4 linked regions of the Sus scrofa genome follow. The protein of the gene in region 4 binds, or shares a complex with, the protein of the main gene of each other region. Links are inferred from orthologs where the notes say so. Each region holds a gene or a part of one and is shown on either strand. Other genes may lie near its edges.

Region 1 (4,257 bases), on a different chromosome or scaffold from region 4:
TCGATGCCGGCAGTGAACACCCCAAATGCACCTCCCAAGACAAATCCTACAAACACACACAGAGACGAAGATTTCTTTGGCATGGTTTCTGGATTACTGCAGTGGGGTCACGCTCAAATAGCACCTTTTGGGTGGCTGCCAGCGAAAGGAACCATCCCACCCCCCACCCCCGCCTCAAAAACTCTCCCCTTGCCTGGTTTCCACATCACAAAATCCAGATCTTGTTGACAGCTTCTCGTCTGCTCTTCTTGGATTTCCTCCTCCTCCTTTCATTTGCTAACATTCCTCAAGATTTAGTGTCTTTCCCTCTTTCTCTTGCCACACTTTTCATGCAAACCACCCACCCTCAAGTTCAGGTAAAAACTTTGCAAATCGCCCCTTGACAACAGTGCATTCGTAATAGTCATTTGGCAAACACCACGTGCCAGTCACCCTGACACTTTACAGCCAGTCGTATTTATTCTTGACAATAATCCGGTGAGGTAGATCTTATTATCCTCTCCTTTCTGTAGCCGAAGAAGCTGAGGCTCCAGGAAGTTAAGTAACTTTCCTCAAGTCACAAAGCGAATGGCTACCCCTACGCTGCTGTGCACAGCTGACCTTCCGGAGCCTGCTGGGCATCTCCATGTGGATGCCCTCTCAGCACCTCGACGTCTGTAAACGCTCAAGGAAATCTCGGGCGCCGCCCCTCCAGACGTTCTTGTTTATGGCTCCTTCTTCCTAGTCACTCCTGCCCCAAAATGCAAGGGCATTTTTTCTTTTCATTTATTTATTTATTTTTGCTTTTTAGGGCAGCACCTGCAGCAGATGGAAGTTCCCAGGCTAGGGGTGGAATCAGAGCTACAGCCACTGGCCTACACCACAGCCACAGCCACACCAGATCTGAACCGCGTCTGTGACCTACACCACGGCTCACGGCAACGCCAGGCCCTTAACCCACTGAGCAAGGCCAGGGATCGAACCCATGTTCTCATGGATACCAATCGGGTTCGTGACTGCTGAGTCACATCGGGACTTTATGGCTTCCACCTTGGGGCACTACAAAGACTCATTCATCATTTTAACAGCTATGTAAGATTTATCAGGGTCAGGTATTGATGAAAAAAGACCCAGTCCATGGCTCAGGGAGCTTCAGTCTAGCAAATTCCCTCTCGGGTCTCCCTGTCTACAGACGTTCCCTGGCCACACTCCACCCTCAGTCATCATACTCACTACCACTGCTACCCTCTAAAAAAAATCATCTATTGCTGCCCTTAAAACTACAGGCAAAAAGCCCAAATCCCCCACTCAACCCCCGTTTTTGTTTTGTTTTGTTTTGTTTCTTTCTTGGGGGCTGCGTCTACAGCATGTGGAAGTTCCTGGGCCAGGGATCCAACCTGCACCAAAGCAGCCACCTGAGCTGCAGCAATGACAACGGCTGGGTTCCTGCTGTGCCACAAAGAACTCCTTTCACCCCCAGCATGAAATGACATCTCTCCGCCTCCTTGTCTACCCACACTCTCCATCCTTCAAGACACATCTCCAGTCTCACCTCCTCCAAGGCCTTCCCCAACCAAAAAAGATCTTTCCTCTTCCTACCGTACATCATATTTGCACTCTCGCTACATTCGTGTCTCTCTCTGCTTCTCTCTTCTTTTTTGGCTGCACCCGTGGCATGCAGAAATTCCTGGGCCAGGGCTCAAACCTGCACCACAGCAGTGACAACGCCAGATCCTTAATCTTCTGAGCCACCAGGGAATTATGACCTTCACTTCTTAATTGCCTTTCATTCTCAATTAGATTTCAACTCATCTGCAAATGTGGTCAGCCTCTTTGCATAGAGGAGAGACACCTACATTCTCAAATGCTCAAGAGGTTAAAAAAAAAAAAAAAAGTCCAGATTTCTTCCCACCTCCTGCCCCCATTCCCTGCTGTCTAGTCATAATGGCCTTTCTGTTTTTCTAATCTCGAGCCACTACAAGCCAGACCTTTGCAAGTGCTGTGTCCTGCCCTGCAGGGCCCTCCTCCAGGCTCCTTCTCAACATTTTTCTTTCTATGTATATTAAGAGGTTAGCTTCAGAAGAACAAGGCTCTTGTCTCTCCATCACCGGGCACGTGATAGCTACTCAGTGACAATCTGTTGAAAAGTGATTAATTAAAAGAGAATGAACAAAGAAATGTGTGAACGAATGAATGAGGTCAACCATCTTACTCCCCCAGGTCCTGATCTAGGGCCGGTTCTCTGATCCAATTTCCAGAGACGGAAGCCTAGAGGGTCTAAGGACGCACTGCTCAAGTTCACTGAACCAGGCGGGGGTGGGTCAAGGTCGAGGCCCACGGACTCCTTGCCTCTCAGGAGCGTGTTCTTCTTGGCAGGGCACCCTGCTGCCGCCCAAGCCCTCGGCCTCCCAAGGGCCCCCCTCACCTCGCCTCACCTCCCACGCAGGCCAGCGCCGCCTTGAAGGCGCAGCTTTCCATCGCCCTCTCGATCATCTTCTGCTCCTCACTCTTGGCGGGACTCGGGATCCCGCCCAGGGTCCCAGGCTCCAGGACCCGGGGCTGACGCTTGTCACCCACCAGGTGCTGCAGAAGAAGGCTGTACTGCAGAGGGGCTTCCGTGGAAGCCGCCGCCTCAGGCGCAGAGACCCCTGCACTGGGGGCCGTCGCCGCCATGACAGTAGCTGCCCAAGAAACCTGGCGTCCTTCTTCCCACAGGCGATTCCACAAGCTTCCCGTGGGCCCTTGCGCGCACAGCCACCGAGACGCAACAGCAGATTCGCCACACCGGGCGAGTCCAAAGAAGTCGCGAAAGCCTGTTCGTGCACACGCGGCAGAAGTGCTATCATGTTCTCTCAAAACCTTCTGTGAACACGGAATCAGGCTTGTGCAACATTCCCGAAGGCAATGATAAATAAGAGTCAGAGTCACCAGAAAGGTCTCTCTTCGTGGCTGAAGCGCGGTGCGTACTGGGATTTGTAGTTCTAATAGGTACACCCCCAGACAGTTCCCAGGAAGCCTTGCGCGGACACGCGCGTCTCTGCCTCTTCTGGAGCTCCTGACAGGCGGAAGGGAGGGAGGGTGCAGCGCGCAGGAGAGCCAGCAGGGGGCGCGCGAGCCTCATCTCTGCCCTGCGAGCCAACTGATTGCTTGCGGGGGTTGTGGGATGGCAGTGGGCTAGAGTGCTTGCTAAATTGACGTAGCATAAATGTATGAAATAAATGTTTTATTCAGCAATTAAGCCATTGAGGGGAGAGAGAAGGGGCCAAAAATGAGTGAACAAATGAGTGAAGCTAGGCAAGCTAAGAAAAATCCGGGACAGTGGTAGGAAGTGGAGTGAGGCTGCTACCCCAACCACGAGTCAGTGGAATGAGCGGTGTGGGACTAGCGTTGCCATGCAAAGCCAAATTTACATTATGCTGATTCAGTTAAACTGCTTACGAACTTGCAGACTCAGAACCTGAAGGTTAACTGTGAGATAGCACCGTATATGAATCCAGAAGAACTTTTGCAGTAGTGTCGATGGCACTAAAATAGATCCCTAAATATTGTATTGATCCAGACTAGGAGTGTTTGGGTGTATCAGCTAAGAGAGCTGTAAATGGAAGCAGAAGGTGGTGAGCAGTAGCCAGTCTACTGAGACACCTCTTTGGTCGCCAGAGTTCTCTGTGCCTCTAAGCAGGGCATGTGGTTCACTTGCTTCTGCTCCCACCAGACCGCTGAACAAGCTCGCCCTGAGGTCTCCAGTGCTTCCCAGTTGTTGAGACTAATTCAGATGCCTTTCACTTGACTCCTCAGCTGTATGTGATACTGTCGATTCCTCCCTGCTTCGGAGTTTCTTCGCAGTTTCGGTGGAGCCTCTGTCCTGGTTTTGCTAGAATCTCTTCAGTTCCTCAGACTTTGCAGGCACCTCTGCCTGATCCTTTCCTGTTGGATGCTCAGGGCCTCATCCTTTATCCTCTTCTCATGCACCTTGCTCTCTCTGAAGCTGTTCACCCACTCATGGCTTCTACCACCACCTCTAACAGAGCAATGGCTCCCAGATTTTTATCTCCAGCTTCAATCCTTCTCAGCAGCATGAAAACCAGTCATTTCCTATAGGCACCTCAAACTCAACACACCCTGCCACCCCCCCTTTCCTTTCAGATGAATGAGGGGCCCAGGACTCTGATTCATGCCTTAAGAGCCAAAGTTGGATCTGAGAGAAGTTGGAACAGCCCCATAGGCAGGTCTCAGGCAAGGGCCTTGGGAACAAGGAGCGATCTAAATGGTTAACCCGTG
Region 2 (4,208 bases), on a different chromosome or scaffold from region 4:
AGGTGAGAGGGTCAGCCGTCCCACGGCTTGTGCTGCTTTCCCCGTCTGTCTGCCTTTCTGCTTCTCCCCATCCTTCCTCTCCAGTGACGCACCCTTTGTGAGGTGCCTTGCACGTGCCAAGTGATGGGCCAGGCTCTGGTTTACATTAAGGGAGACTCCCTTAGATTTAGAGCCGGGCTCCTGAAGACCTCAGTGTCGTCCAGCCAAGGGCCTGTGAAGTGAGCCTTAGGTCTCCCGAATGTTGACTGTCTGAATGTCAATTCTGCAAGTGGTTACTGCAACAACACAGAGAACGCTCCAGTTAGGCCATGTTAATAGTGGGGTCTAGCTTCATATTTTTCATAAAGGATCTGGAAGCAGTTTTCAGGATGGCATTAAATTTTTCTGTACTGTGAAAGGCCAAACTTAGTAACCCGTAAGTGGAGAAAAAGTTACTACAGGTGGCCTCTGAAGACTTGTACCTTTTCTGCCACGGTATTCAACAAGGATCATGGGTAAAACAGAAGGTGTCCCCACAGTGGGTGGCACCATAGTTTCAACACAGCAAATGTTGAATTAAATGCACGAATTACAGAGGGTTTCACAGACTCTTATATTTTAAAAATTGATTTTATTGAAGTATAATTGATTTACAGTGTTTTCATTTCTGCTGTACAGCAGTGATTCAGTTATACATGTATATGTATATATATGTATTATATATTCTTTTTCATATTCTTTTCTATTACAGTTTATCATGGGATATTAAATATAATTCCCTATGCTATACAGAAGGACCTTGAGGTTTATTCAATTTATAGTAGTTTGCATCTGCTAATCCCAAACACCCAGTCCATCCCTCCCCCCACCCCATCCCTTTCAGCAACAAGTCTTTTTTCTGTCTGTGAATCTGCTTCTGTTATGTAGATACCATGATTGTGTTACATTTTAGATTCTACATATAAGTGATAGCATATGGTATTTGTCTTTCTTATTTCACTTAGTAGGAAAATCTTTAGTTCCATCCAGGTTGCTGCAAATGATATTTCATTCGTTTTTATGGCTGAGTAGTATTCCATTGTACATTTGTACCACGTTAACTTCATCCATTTATCTGTTGGTGGACATTAGGGTTGATTCCATGTCTTTCCTATTGTAAACAGCATTGCCATGAACACTGGGGTGCACATCTTTTTAGATTATAGTTTTGTCCATATATATGTGCCCAGTAGTGTGATTGCTGGATCATATGGTAACCCTTATTTTTAGTTGAGGAAACTCCATGCTGTTTTCCATAGTGGCAACACCAATTTATATTCCCATCAACAGTGTAGGAGGGTTCCCTTTTCTCCATACCCTCTCCAGTATTTATTATTTGTAGACTTTTTGATGATGGCCATTCTGACTGGTGTGAGGTGGTACCTCATTGTAGTTTTGATTTGCATTTCGCTGATAATTAGCAATGTTGAGCATCTTTTCATGTGCCTATTGGCCATCTCTATGTCTTCTTTGAAGAAATGTCTATTTAGGTCTTCTACCCACTTTTTGATTGTTTTTTTGTTATTGAGTTATATGAGCTGTTTGAACATTTTGGAAATTAAGCCCTTGTCACATCATTTGCAAATATTTTCTTCCAGTCCGTAGGGTGTCTTTTCATTTATGGTTTTCTTTGCTGTGCAAAGCTGTGCATTTGATTATGTCCCATTTGTTTACTTTTGCTCTTATTTCTGTAGCCTTGGGAGGATGACATAGGAAAATACTGGTACAATTTATGTTTACCATCTAATATTAATGTTGTTATACCTTAGGTATAAAGCTAAGCAAGTCCTAAAGAAGAACTATGAACATAATCAATTGGATAGCATGGCTTCCTTGCTTTTCATTTGAGAAAGATTAGGGCTGAGAAGGACATACATGTATGTTCTATGGAATTTCTTAGAAGTGTGACAGGACTTATTTAAGTGTCGCAAGTCCCAAAATCCTCTGGGAGGAGGTAGAGGCTGGTGAAACCTTTTTCATGAGCAGTGTCATTGGGCTGTTTCCAGAACCAGCATGGTGTCGACACAGGCACTGAATATTCCTTTAAAAGCCCATTTTGCTGAAGCCCCCGAGTCTGACGCTTTCCACAGTATCCTGCTGTAGTGGTGACGGGGTTCCCGCCGACACGGGCAGGTCCTCAACAGTCTCTTCTCCCCAGGGAACAGGGGGCTTCTTCAGCATCGACAGTGAGGAGTACGAAGCGATGCCCGTGGAGGTGAAGCTGCTCCCCAGGAAGCTGCGGTTCTTCTGTGACCCGCGGAGGAGGGCAGAGATGCTGCAGAGCTGGGCTGAGTGAGCAGATGGGCAACTGCCCTTTAGGCCACCCTGGGACCAAAGGGGAGCAGAGCCTCCGAATCCCCGTCCCCGCCGCCTTGTCAGAGGATCCCAAGGGCCCGTCTGCGGCAAGTACCCCCTGCCCTCCTCTCTCTGTGCGTTGCAGCTTCCCAGCCAGCGTCCCGGCCGCGCGGGCTTTGACTGGTGCCCCCTGGTCCCTCCTGCGTAGTGCCCCCCGTCAGGCGGGCGCCGAGACATCCCCACCCTCCGTGGATGGAAAAGGGCCGGACCTTGTTCTCTCCCCACCGCGGACGGCAGGCTCCGAGGCTGTGTCCTCTCCTGTCTGTGGCCGTCCCGGGAAGGGCCCGCCTTCCCGCCGCTGCCTTGTCCTGTTTCCAGGCTCCTCCATGGGTGCTGCTGCTCCATGAGCTCCGGTTCTCATTTAGCGGGTTCCAGTTCTCTCCTCGGTCTAAGAAACATATGTGGGGTGTCCGTCTTCAGCCATGGCTGATACTGTAAAATATTAGGGTTTCCCCCCCCTAAAGTCGTGCTTCTGAAGTGTTGGTTTGCATGAGAACCACCTGGGGCACTTGTCGAAGATTTACTCAATTGGGGACCACCCCAAACCTAGTCACTCAATCTGAGGATGGAGCCCCGGAATCTGCCTTTTTAAAAAGGCTGCCACCCTCCCCGGGTGGTTCTGGTTCAGGAAGTCCTGAGGCCGAAAGGGACACACAGTCCTGCCAAGCAGTGGTCCACAGGTCTCCTGCTCCTCTGCTTCCTCAGAGTGTTTTGGAAAACCTTGTAGCCCCTCCCACGTTAACATCCCCAATTTCTCATGGGAAGTTTGAGTTGCCAAAGTATATACTTTCTGGTGTCATGTAAATATTGATATTTTAAAATAAAACTGTTACATCACTCTTTTAAACATATTCAGTATAATTGAAATACATAGCAATTTGACATTCATCATCCATTTACAAAAATAAATTGTTTAGTAGTTGGAAATATCCATTTTCCTCATATGCGTATTTCCTACCGCTTTCAGCAAAGTATGCTATCATGTTTTTATGCTGGAAAATTTTTTCACTCAACCTATTTTCTTGCCAACAAAAGCTATAAATTGAAATGACTTTTTTTAGTTCAAGTGTTAACTCAGTACAGAATAAATGTTATCAATTATTGAAATACAACTGATTATAAATTTTTAATAATTAAGAATTAACATTAGAATGCTCTTTATCCTCATGAGTTCATTTAGCCAAAAGCACATGTTACTTACAGCTGAGACAAGGCTCAACATTATAGATGTTTAAAATTCTGTTCTAACATTGCCATGCAGTTCTTTGAATTGTTTGAGTCGCCTCGAAAAATCACAGTGATGTAGCAACTTCACAGCTGGATTCGACCCCTCCGTTAGTTCGTTGAAAGTGGAGAACTAGAAGCCGTCTGCTTCCCTAGGGACTTGTCAGCTGGGCATTGTAATTGGTGCCCCGAGGTTCTTCTACTCGAGAGGGAAGCACACCACGGTAAGGGGGGTGAGACGTAAGGCTTTCTCTTTGTGCGGAGGAAGGAAAATTGCACAAAGGGGAAGAGGGGTGGGAGAACGGGCAGGAGGCTCATGCTCAGGCAGGTCAGTTTTAGGACCACACACGCACCCGCACCCACGAACCCTTCGGAGAGTGAGGACCAATGCTTGAAGGGGTCTAAGGCAGCTATGAAAAGCCCATAACATAATGCTTACCTGTTTGCCTCTGTGTTCTTCAGAGTGGAGTTAAAAGCTGTGCTTTTGCAAAACAAATAACAAAACAAAGCAAAAAGGAGGCAGGTCCAGGAGTTCCTGTTGTCAGGCTCGTTACCACTGAGCCACTAGTATCCACGAGGATGCAGGTTGATCCCTGGCCTCGCTCCGTGGG
Region 3 (3,497 bases), on a different chromosome or scaffold from region 4:
CGAAGGGGGAATAGCTGAGGGTGAGGTGGGGGGTTAGGGAGAGCAGTGAAGGTGTAAACAGCTGCCATGGTGATGAGAAGAGCAAACAGACCAGGAACCCTCCAAATGCTATTTGTTGGTAGAGCTTGGTTGCAGCTGGGACTGGGAATATTTAGTGGCATTCACTACACAGCTGTGTTTTCCTCTAGCTGTGTGAATGGAGGACCAGAAAAGTTAAAACAGCTGGACTGGGAGTTCCCTGGTGGCCGAGCAGTTAAGAACTCGGCATTGTCACTGCTGTGGCTTCAGTTTGATCCCTGGCCTGGGAACTTCTGCATGCCATGGCATGGCCAAAAAATAAATAATAATAAGTAAAACAGGTGGAATGATACAAAAAGGACACAAGGGCAGCAAAAAAATTCAGGGATGGAGTGACATGCCACTGAGACTGCTGAATACAGAGGTAAACTCCACAAGGGAGGCAATAATGAGGAAAGAATGGAGAGGCTGGAATTAGAAACCATGGGATAGGCACAGCTGGGACAATGCAGAGTAGGGGGCAGGGCTGGAATTAGGAGATCACAGGCGAGCAGTGAGACAAGAGCGTAACATCCAAAAGCTTTTCCTTTCTTCTGTTTTTTTTTTTTTTTTTTTTTTTTTTTTGTCCCCTTAGCCACCACCCTCTACTTCTGTGGTTTTCTCTCCCTTGAGTCTGACTATAGTGCAGAACATGGCTCCCCAAGTTTTCCCCTGACTGCTCCTGAAGACGAGCACACAGACCTCCTCGGTTTAAAGGATTTACTGCTCAATTTCTGGGAGTATTAAGAAAGTAACAACTTGGGGGAGTGGTTAACGTTCTAGAACACCCAGAAGTCCTATAGGTTTCATCTGTCTGGGGCTACTGACTTTCGAAGAGGTAGTGCCTAAAAGCCCTGTGGTTTCTTAATCCATGGTCCTTAATATCTCTAAGCGAACCATTTAAGTCAGACAGATTTAAGGACAGAGTTCCCATTTTCTCTGCCGTCTGGGCACGAACCAGCGTCTTGTTGCCAATTTTAAAGCTGTACCCACAGACCTTCCTTTAACCAGGTGCCTGGGAATGCTGAGGTTTTCCTTCCACACACAGAAGGCAACTTCTCCCTGCCCAGAATATCAACCGCACAGATTACAGCAGGTTTATTAGCTCCAGGAAAAGGAGCAACAGTACCTAGCTCTCAGGCAACTCCTCATTCTCTACATACAGGCTCCATCTTGCCCAAGGTCCACTGCTCCTTCAACGTGAGGGTCCATCCAGTGCCTCCCTTCTCAGCGTTGAGGACAGCTAGCTGCCAGATGGCGAGGCTTCTGGCTGTTCAGCAGCAACACCTGGCACAGCTGAGGCAGCCTCGTAGTCAGCGATGCGGCGCTGTACCAGGGCAGGCATGAGCTGCACGTAAGCGGCCATGAGGCGGTGGTTGGAATGGATCAGCTTCCCGGCACAGCTGTGCAGACAGGCCTCCTGGAAGGAAGACAGGGTGGAAGTAGAAGCCAAAGGTGTCCAGTCAGGTCCGTTTCCCTCCTTCCCATCCCCAGCCTCAGGGCGGAGGTCGTGGGAAGCCAGGGCCGGACGTAGGGGAATTGACGGGAGAGGGAAGCAGTGCACGGTTAGCTCTGAGGCTCGAGGAGCACTTCCCTACTCAGTTCCCCCACCTAACCTCCTCGGCATCCAGAGCTCGGTGATGCAGGCTGGGCACGCAGCGCTGGAAGCAGAGTTCCGTCATCCGATTGTAGACCAACAGGAAGTCCCGCAACTGGGGAGGAAGGGGGACAAGGAACTCAGCGAAGAGGGGGCCACGTCTCAACTCAAGGCCGCGCTGCCGGCGCTTTCCCAGGACCGTGTACCACGGCCCGTGGTTCCCAGCCCTTGGATGCCTGGCTCTCTGGGGTTTCCGCCATGCGAACAGGGATGCTAGCTGGATGCAGGGCCCTTAAGCGACTTAGCTCCCACTCACGTTTCTCAGCTGCTGCTGCTGCTGCTGTTGCTGTTCCATCACGCCGCCGGCGCACAACCTACGTCACTTCCGTTACAGCTTCTAGGGAACGCCCCGGAAGTGACCTCAATGGCTCCCCAGGGGCAGAGGGGTTGGCTCAAGGAGCGCCCGCCCACCTCCCCGCGACGTCACTTCCGCCCTCATAATCGGCTACGTGGCCGGCTTCTTCTGCCCGGGAGAGGACGTCACTTCCGCCGAGTCCCTGACCTGCTGCTAGGATCGCGACGGGAACTGGATCCCGAGATCCCCGCGCGGCCCGGGCCTGGCGCCCTGAGGGGAAGAGCGGCCCGGCCCGAGGTGAGAGGGACGTGCATGGGCGAGGGCAAGGTGAACGCACGAACCTGACCTGAGGGCAAGATGCTTCTGAGCCCTGGGAAAGGATGAGGACACACCTGACGCCCAGGTGTATGGGGGGAGGGCGGAGACTCACACACCTGGGGAGACCTAACTGACTTTGGAAGGGATCACCTCCCTATGTCCTGGGGCAAAGGGACTTTTCCCCGGGGTCGGGAACTTACACCAACTGATTCAACTAAGGCCTGGGGCGGGGGTGGGGGCAGGAAGAGGGGGTGCATGGGATGGAGGAGGGGGAGACCACCTGCAGGAAAGAGGAGGAGACATTAGAGGAGTGTGAAAGGCCAAACAATGGCGAACATACCTGAACGGGGATAGGCACCTGAGCGCTGGGAAAGGGATTGTCTCCTGATGAGGAGGAATACCTGCGTGGGGATAAGCTGCTTGAGAGCACAGGCTTTCTCTCCATTGCCTCAAATAGTGCGTGGCATGTAGTAGGCACTCATTAAATGTCTGTGGAAGGACTGAATGCATGAATGATCCCTGGACTGCTGGGGGGGTGGGGGTGGGGGGGTCATGAGAACATGACCTCTGGTCAGGCACACCTGAGGCCTGGGTGCCTGTGTGTAAAACTTTGCACCTTGGAAGGGAGAAAGACAAAGCCCCGAGGGAAGAGTGGTGGGCAGACCCCACCACACTGAAGCCCCGGGACGGCCTCTGCAAGGGCAGGGGAGACCTTCCTCTTCGGAGAACTGGCCCGTTTCCAGAACTGTCTGTGTTGGGCTTTGCAGGGCGCTGGGGTGGAGACTTTGACTCCAGTCCCTTCGCTCGCCATGACGGACGGGATCCTAGGGAAGGCAGCCACAATGGAGATCCCCATCCACGGGAATGGTGACGCGGGGCAGCTTCCTGAGGATGATGGGCTGGAGCAGGTGCTTCTGTTTGATTCTTCACATTGTTTCAGTTGAGGAATCCCAACTCTTAAACCCTGAGCTCTCTCCTTCTTCCAGTAGCCTTCCCCCAACTCACCTGATTTCCTTCAGTCTTTTTACCAATCTTTGTTCTGATTCTGTGCAGACTTCCCTTGTGTGCTCTCTCTATGATGCTTCAATCCAAGCTTGTTTTCACCCCCAAAATGCTTCAGCTGCCCATATGTTCCTGAAGCCCCCCTCTTCTCTGGCCTATAGGACCTCC
Region 4 (4,270 bases):
ATCATTTTGTTGTACAGCAAAAATTATCACATTGTAATCAACTATACTTCAATAAAACTTTAAAAACTGGGGAAAAAAAGATAAACACAATGCCACAACAAAGTTATTTCATGTCTTGGTTTATTAACTAGCTATAGGTCACATAGGTGACAGAGGTAGTCTCATTCCTATAGTATTTTAGTTTTAAAAGTATGATTATCATAACCCAGCTCTGAATACCAACATGTCCTTTCTATAGAATTCTGTGTTTTCAGGGTTATTGAAGTAAAACATAACCAGAAACTAGGATTCCATGTTGATTTCCAGATCAGAAAATGCTTTGTCCCTCCTTGTCATTTAACATCAGTATCAGTACACACATGGTAAAAACAGGTTGGTTTTGAGAGTTCTTTTTGGCCACACCCGCGGAATCTGGAAGTTCCCCAGCCAGGGATCAAATCCACACCAAAGTATGTGCCACAGCTATGGCAATGCCAGATCCACTGTGCCACATGGGAACTTTCCAAAAACAGGTTGTTTTTAGAGTTTCTGTTGTGGCTCAGTGGGTTAAGAATCTAACTATTATCCAGGACAATGAGGGTTCGATCCCTGGCCTCACTCAGTGGGTTAAAGGATCCGGCGTTGCCGTAAGTTGCAGTATAGGTCACAGATGCTGACTGGATCCTGCATTGCTGTGGCTGAGGTGACCCCTAGACTCTGAAACTTCCATTTGCTGTGGGTGCAGCCCTAAAAAAATAGGGTCAGGGGAGGTTGTTTTTGCAAAAAGTTTTGTCGTAAAATCCAAATAATCATACCAATGTTAATTTCTTGGGTTGGTAATGATTACATAAGTTATGACGGGGGGGGGGGGGGAGGGGGGGGAAGCTGGGTGAAGATACACAGGATGTCTATTTTTCCAGTCTCCTCTGAAACTATAAAAATTTTTTTTGTCTTTTTGCTATTTCTTGGGCTGCCCCTGTGGCATATGGAGGTTCCCAGGCTAGGGGTCTAATTGGAGCTGTAGCCACCGGCCTACGCCAGAGCCACAGCAACGCGGGATCCCAGCCGCGTCTGCAACCTACACCACAGCTCACGGCAACGCCGGATCGTTAACGCACTGAGCAAGGGCAGGGACCGAACCCGCAACCTCATGGTTCCTAGTCGGATTCGTTAACCACTGCATCACGACGGGAACTCCTGAAATTATAAATTTTTTAAAAATTAATTTAAAAAAACATTTTAGTCATGGAAACAGGATAAACATTTCAGTTCAAATTTTAAAATGAAAATCTAGGAGTTCCCATCATTGTGAAAAAATCGGACTAGGAACCATGAGATTGCAGGTTCCATCCCTGGCCTCTCTCAGTGGGTTAAGGATCCAATGTTGCCCTGAGCTGTGGTGTAGGTCGCAGATGCGGCTTGGATCCCACGTTGTTGTGGCTATGGTGTAGGCCAGGGGCTACAGCTCTGATTAGACCCCTAGCCTGGCAACCTCCATATGCCGTAGGTGCGGACCTAAAAGAACAAAAAAAAGAAAAAAGAAAATCTAAAAGTTCTTAGGAGAGCTTGGGAGTCACCTAACAACTGTGATACCTCAGTCGGAGGAATCTTTAAGCCCAGTGCAAAGGCTTATTTCCATCTAAGGCTCCTCACTAACTCTGGCAGTGATAAATGTTACAAGGCATGTCCTTCTGCTCTTCCCAACTCCAAGACCAAGGAGGCTCTGAATTAGCGTCAACTCACAAGGAACAGGTGAGAGGGAGGCCCTCAATTTTGTGAAAACCCACGGAGAGATCACTGCACACAATTTATTTCCATCGCTCTACGTCTGAGGCTGATTCTCACCAACGGCACAATCCTTGATCGGCAGTCTGCTTGGGCTCAGGATCCGGTCAGGACCCAGGCCGCAATGGGTTTCATCTAGCGACTTCCGAGGGCGCCAGGGGATCGGCTTGGCTCAGGGCGAGCTGGTCTTTCTTCTCCTTCTGCAGGACCTGCTCCTCCCACAGCGCCTGATCCACCTGATCGTCGGTGAGCACTACAGGCTTGTACTTCTCATCGAAGAGCCGCTCGTTGGCTTCCGAGTGCAGCTGGTGGGGCTCCACGACGCGTAGATGTGCCGGCAGGTGCAGGAACTCGTCGTGGTTGATGTCGCAGTCGCGCATCCGGGCCCCCAGCACCCACCAGCGGCCCACGAAGCCCACATCCAAGATCCGGTCCGGGAAGTCCGCCCAGCGGGGCTGCAGGTAGCGGCAGCGGGCCTGGTAGAGGCTGACCTGGGCGTCGAACGGCGCCTCGTACACAAGCGAGCAGAGGCCCAGGCTCACGTGGCGCAGGCGGCCGCGACCCCGCAGCCAGAGCAGCCGCTGCACAAATGCTTCAGAATCGCGGTTGCGTGTGGCCGGCGCCAACAGCAGGAGCGTCCCCGACGCATCCAGCAGCGCCTCCTCAAAGGCTGCCTCACTCGGCGCCAGGGCGCAGCAGGCCGCCGCGCCGCCCAGCAGCCCCACGTACACGGCTGCACGCCCGGGCCGGGCTCGCGCTGCCGCCGCCGCGTCTCTGCAGGCCTCTGCGTAGTCCTGGAGCAGCGCGCGGGCCCAAGCTCCTGAGAGGAGAGAAGCGCGATGAGGGCGGTCGGGCCGCTGCGGCCCCCCACCCCCACCGCCTAGCGCCTCTACTCACCCAACCGCGCCCACACGCCAGGCTTTGCAGCCGCAGCGTCCCCCGCCTCCCCACGGCTTCGGGACCACAACCTCTTCAGTGCAGCGGCCGCCATCCTCTTCCGGCTGGGCGTCCCTACTCCGAAAAGAAACGCCTGGTATGCGAAACAAAAAGATCCGGTGAATATCTTCTGCGCAAGCGTCAACATTTCCGGAGGTAGTTTCCCATCGGAAGACGATAGAAAACGGACCGACGCCGGATGTTGCTGTCGGGTCCGACTGGGGTTGCCCCGGCTGGTAGGCGGGTCGCGCAGGCGCAGAGAGTACCGGCCACGCCAGTTGAGGCGGCCTCAGGTGAGGTGGGCGGGGGTGCACCTGGGGGGCGGGAGTGCTGTGTTCACGCCCCTGCGGTACGGTCAGCCGCCAAACGGGGCTCGGGGCTGAGGGTTGGCTTCAAGGAGTGGCGCTGAGTGGGGTTGGGGTGGGCCTGATTGGCCTCTCTCCTCAGAGCGGGATGCGGCGACGCCCCTGAGTGATCATGGCAGCGGCGGACGAGCTGGCCTTCCACGGTGAGTGCCGCCGCGGTCTGACCCCACTCCTACTCCCTCCACTGGCCAGAACCTCCCATCCAGGTCCCAGCTCACATCTAACCGGAATCCCAGTCAGCTGTGAAACCTGACCCAGGCAGGAACCTCGCTCCAGCCCTAAACTCAGACCTCAAACCTGAGCCTCTACCCCATACCAGCCCTCAATTGCGGTCCAGTGTTAGGAGTGAGGGGAAGGGGACACACCTCTTTCCCACTCCCCAAAATTGAGGAAGCTGTACCCTGGGTTGGGGGGAACACCGAGGTGGTCACAGTTAGTCTTGGCCCCCAGATGAGCAGTGGGCAGAACCAAATTGTCTTGACCCCTTCAAATACACCTGTGTCCCATATTCCTTCTCAGCAGAGTTCGAGGAAGCCACTAATTTGCTGGCCCAGACCCCAGAAGCGACCACCACCAGAAGTGATCAGTTGACCCCCCAGGGGCATGTGGCTGTGGCCATGGGCTCAGGGGGCAGCTATGGAACTGAGGATGATGCAGAGGAGAGTGACAAGGCAGCGGTGGGTCCCCTAAGTCTCTGTGCCCTGCCTTTGTCTAGTCCCTGCTGCCCTTCACCCCTCACTGAAAGCCCACACTGTTCAGCTCCTACAGGAGGAGAAGCAGCAGCCTGGTTTCTGGACCTTTGGCTACTATCAGACATTCTTTGACGTGGACACTTCACAGGTCAGACCCGGGGAGTTGGTGGAATGGGGCTCAGAGTCACACTTGGGGTTCAGCCACTAGTCACTGAGCATTTCCTGCGCACCAGGCCCTGAGCAAGTGCTAGCAATACTCATATGAGAGAACAAGAGTCCTACCCAGGCTGGTAGATGTAACTGTGTGGACTGCAAGGATTTTGATGTGTGACAGGGAACACACGTGATATGGTGGGTTAGGGAAGGACCCCTTGGGAGAGATGAGGAATTTGCTGACACTTAAAGGAGAAGGTAGATTTAGCCAGGCAGAGTGGAAGGAAGCTTAAGTACGTTCCAGGCCCAGGAAACAGCATAGGTAGAGGAGCAGTAATGAGAGAAGACAAAAACTACTGC

What was found.
Region 1: TIMM29 (region 4) and TIMM22 share a complex: the UniProt entries of both Homo sapiens proteins name them as parts of the TIM22 complex. The link is inferred for Sus scrofa from reciprocal best matches to the Homo sapiens genes TIMM29 and TIMM22.
Region 2: the proteins of TIMM29 (region 4) and AGK are in contact, whole or in part, in a cryo-EM structure (PDB 7CGP), measured with the Homo sapiens proteins. The link is inferred for Sus scrofa from reciprocal best matches to the Homo sapiens genes TIMM29 and AGK. Residues at the interface, in NP_612367.1 of Homo sapiens: Tyr145, Gln146, Cys149, Arg150, Tyr151, Leu152, Gln153, Arg155; in NP_060708.1 of Homo sapiens: His33, Asn36, Arg39, Arg40, Cys43, Gln44, Gln47, Asn51, Lys82, Pro86, His89, Leu90.
Region 3: TIMM29 (region 4) and TIMM10B share a complex: the UniProt entries of both Homo sapiens proteins name them as parts of the TIM22 complex. The link is inferred for Sus scrofa from reciprocal best matches to the Homo sapiens genes TIMM29 and TIMM10B.

Annotation. Positions count from the first base shown.
Region 1 is NC_010454.4:46,900,302-46,904,558, forward strand, and holds the start of TIMM22 (mitochondrial import inner membrane translocase subunit Tim22), read right to left. Parts: upstream 2,910-4,257; 5' UTR 2,653-2,909; coding exon 2,415-2,652; exon of another isoform or gene 2,405-2,414; intron 47-2,404; coding exon 1-46. UniProt on the Homo sapiens protein: Essential core component of the TIM22 complex, a complex that mediates the import and insertion of multi-pass transmembrane proteins into the mitochondrial inner membrane. In the TIM22 complex, it constitutes the voltage-activated and signal-gated channel.
Region 2 is NC_010460.4:8,263,174-8,267,381, reverse strand, and holds the end of AGK (acylglycerol kinase, mitochondrial), read left to right. Parts: coding exon 1-2; intron 3-2,176; coding exon 2,177-2,314; 3' UTR 2,315-3,621; downstream 3,622-4,208. UniProt on the Homo sapiens protein: Lipid kinase that can phosphorylate both monoacylglycerol and diacylglycerol to form lysophosphatidic acid (LPA) and phosphatidic acid (PA), respectively. Does not phosphorylate sphingosine. Phosphorylates ceramide.
Region 3 is NC_010451.4:3,247,860-3,251,356, forward strand, and holds TIMM10B (mitochondrial import inner membrane translocase subunit Tim10 B), read right to left. Parts: upstream 2,117-3,497; 5' UTR 2,010-2,116; coding exon 1,971-2,009; intron 1,770-1,970; coding exon 1,674-1,769; intron 1,478-1,673; coding exon 1,301-1,477; 3' UTR 615-1,300; downstream 1-614. Other genes in the region: ARFIP2 (arfaptin-2), read left to right, coding at 3,137-3,235, 3,491-3,497. UniProt on the Homo sapiens protein: Component of the TIM22 complex, a complex that mediates the import and insertion of multi-pass transmembrane proteins into the mitochondrial inner membrane.
Region 4 is NC_010444.4:69,648,203-69,652,472, reverse strand, and holds TIMM29 (mitochondrial import inner membrane translocase subunit Tim29), read right to left. Parts: upstream 2,804-4,270; 5' UTR 2,756-2,803; coding exon 2,662-2,755; intron 2,585-2,661; coding exon 1,896-2,584; 3' UTR 104-1,895; downstream 1-103. Other genes in the region: protein YIPF2, read left to right, coding at 3,178-3,208, 3,588-3,742, 3,825-3,905. UniProt on the Homo sapiens protein: Component of the TIM22 complex, a complex that mediates the import and insertion of multi-pass transmembrane proteins into the mitochondrial inner membrane.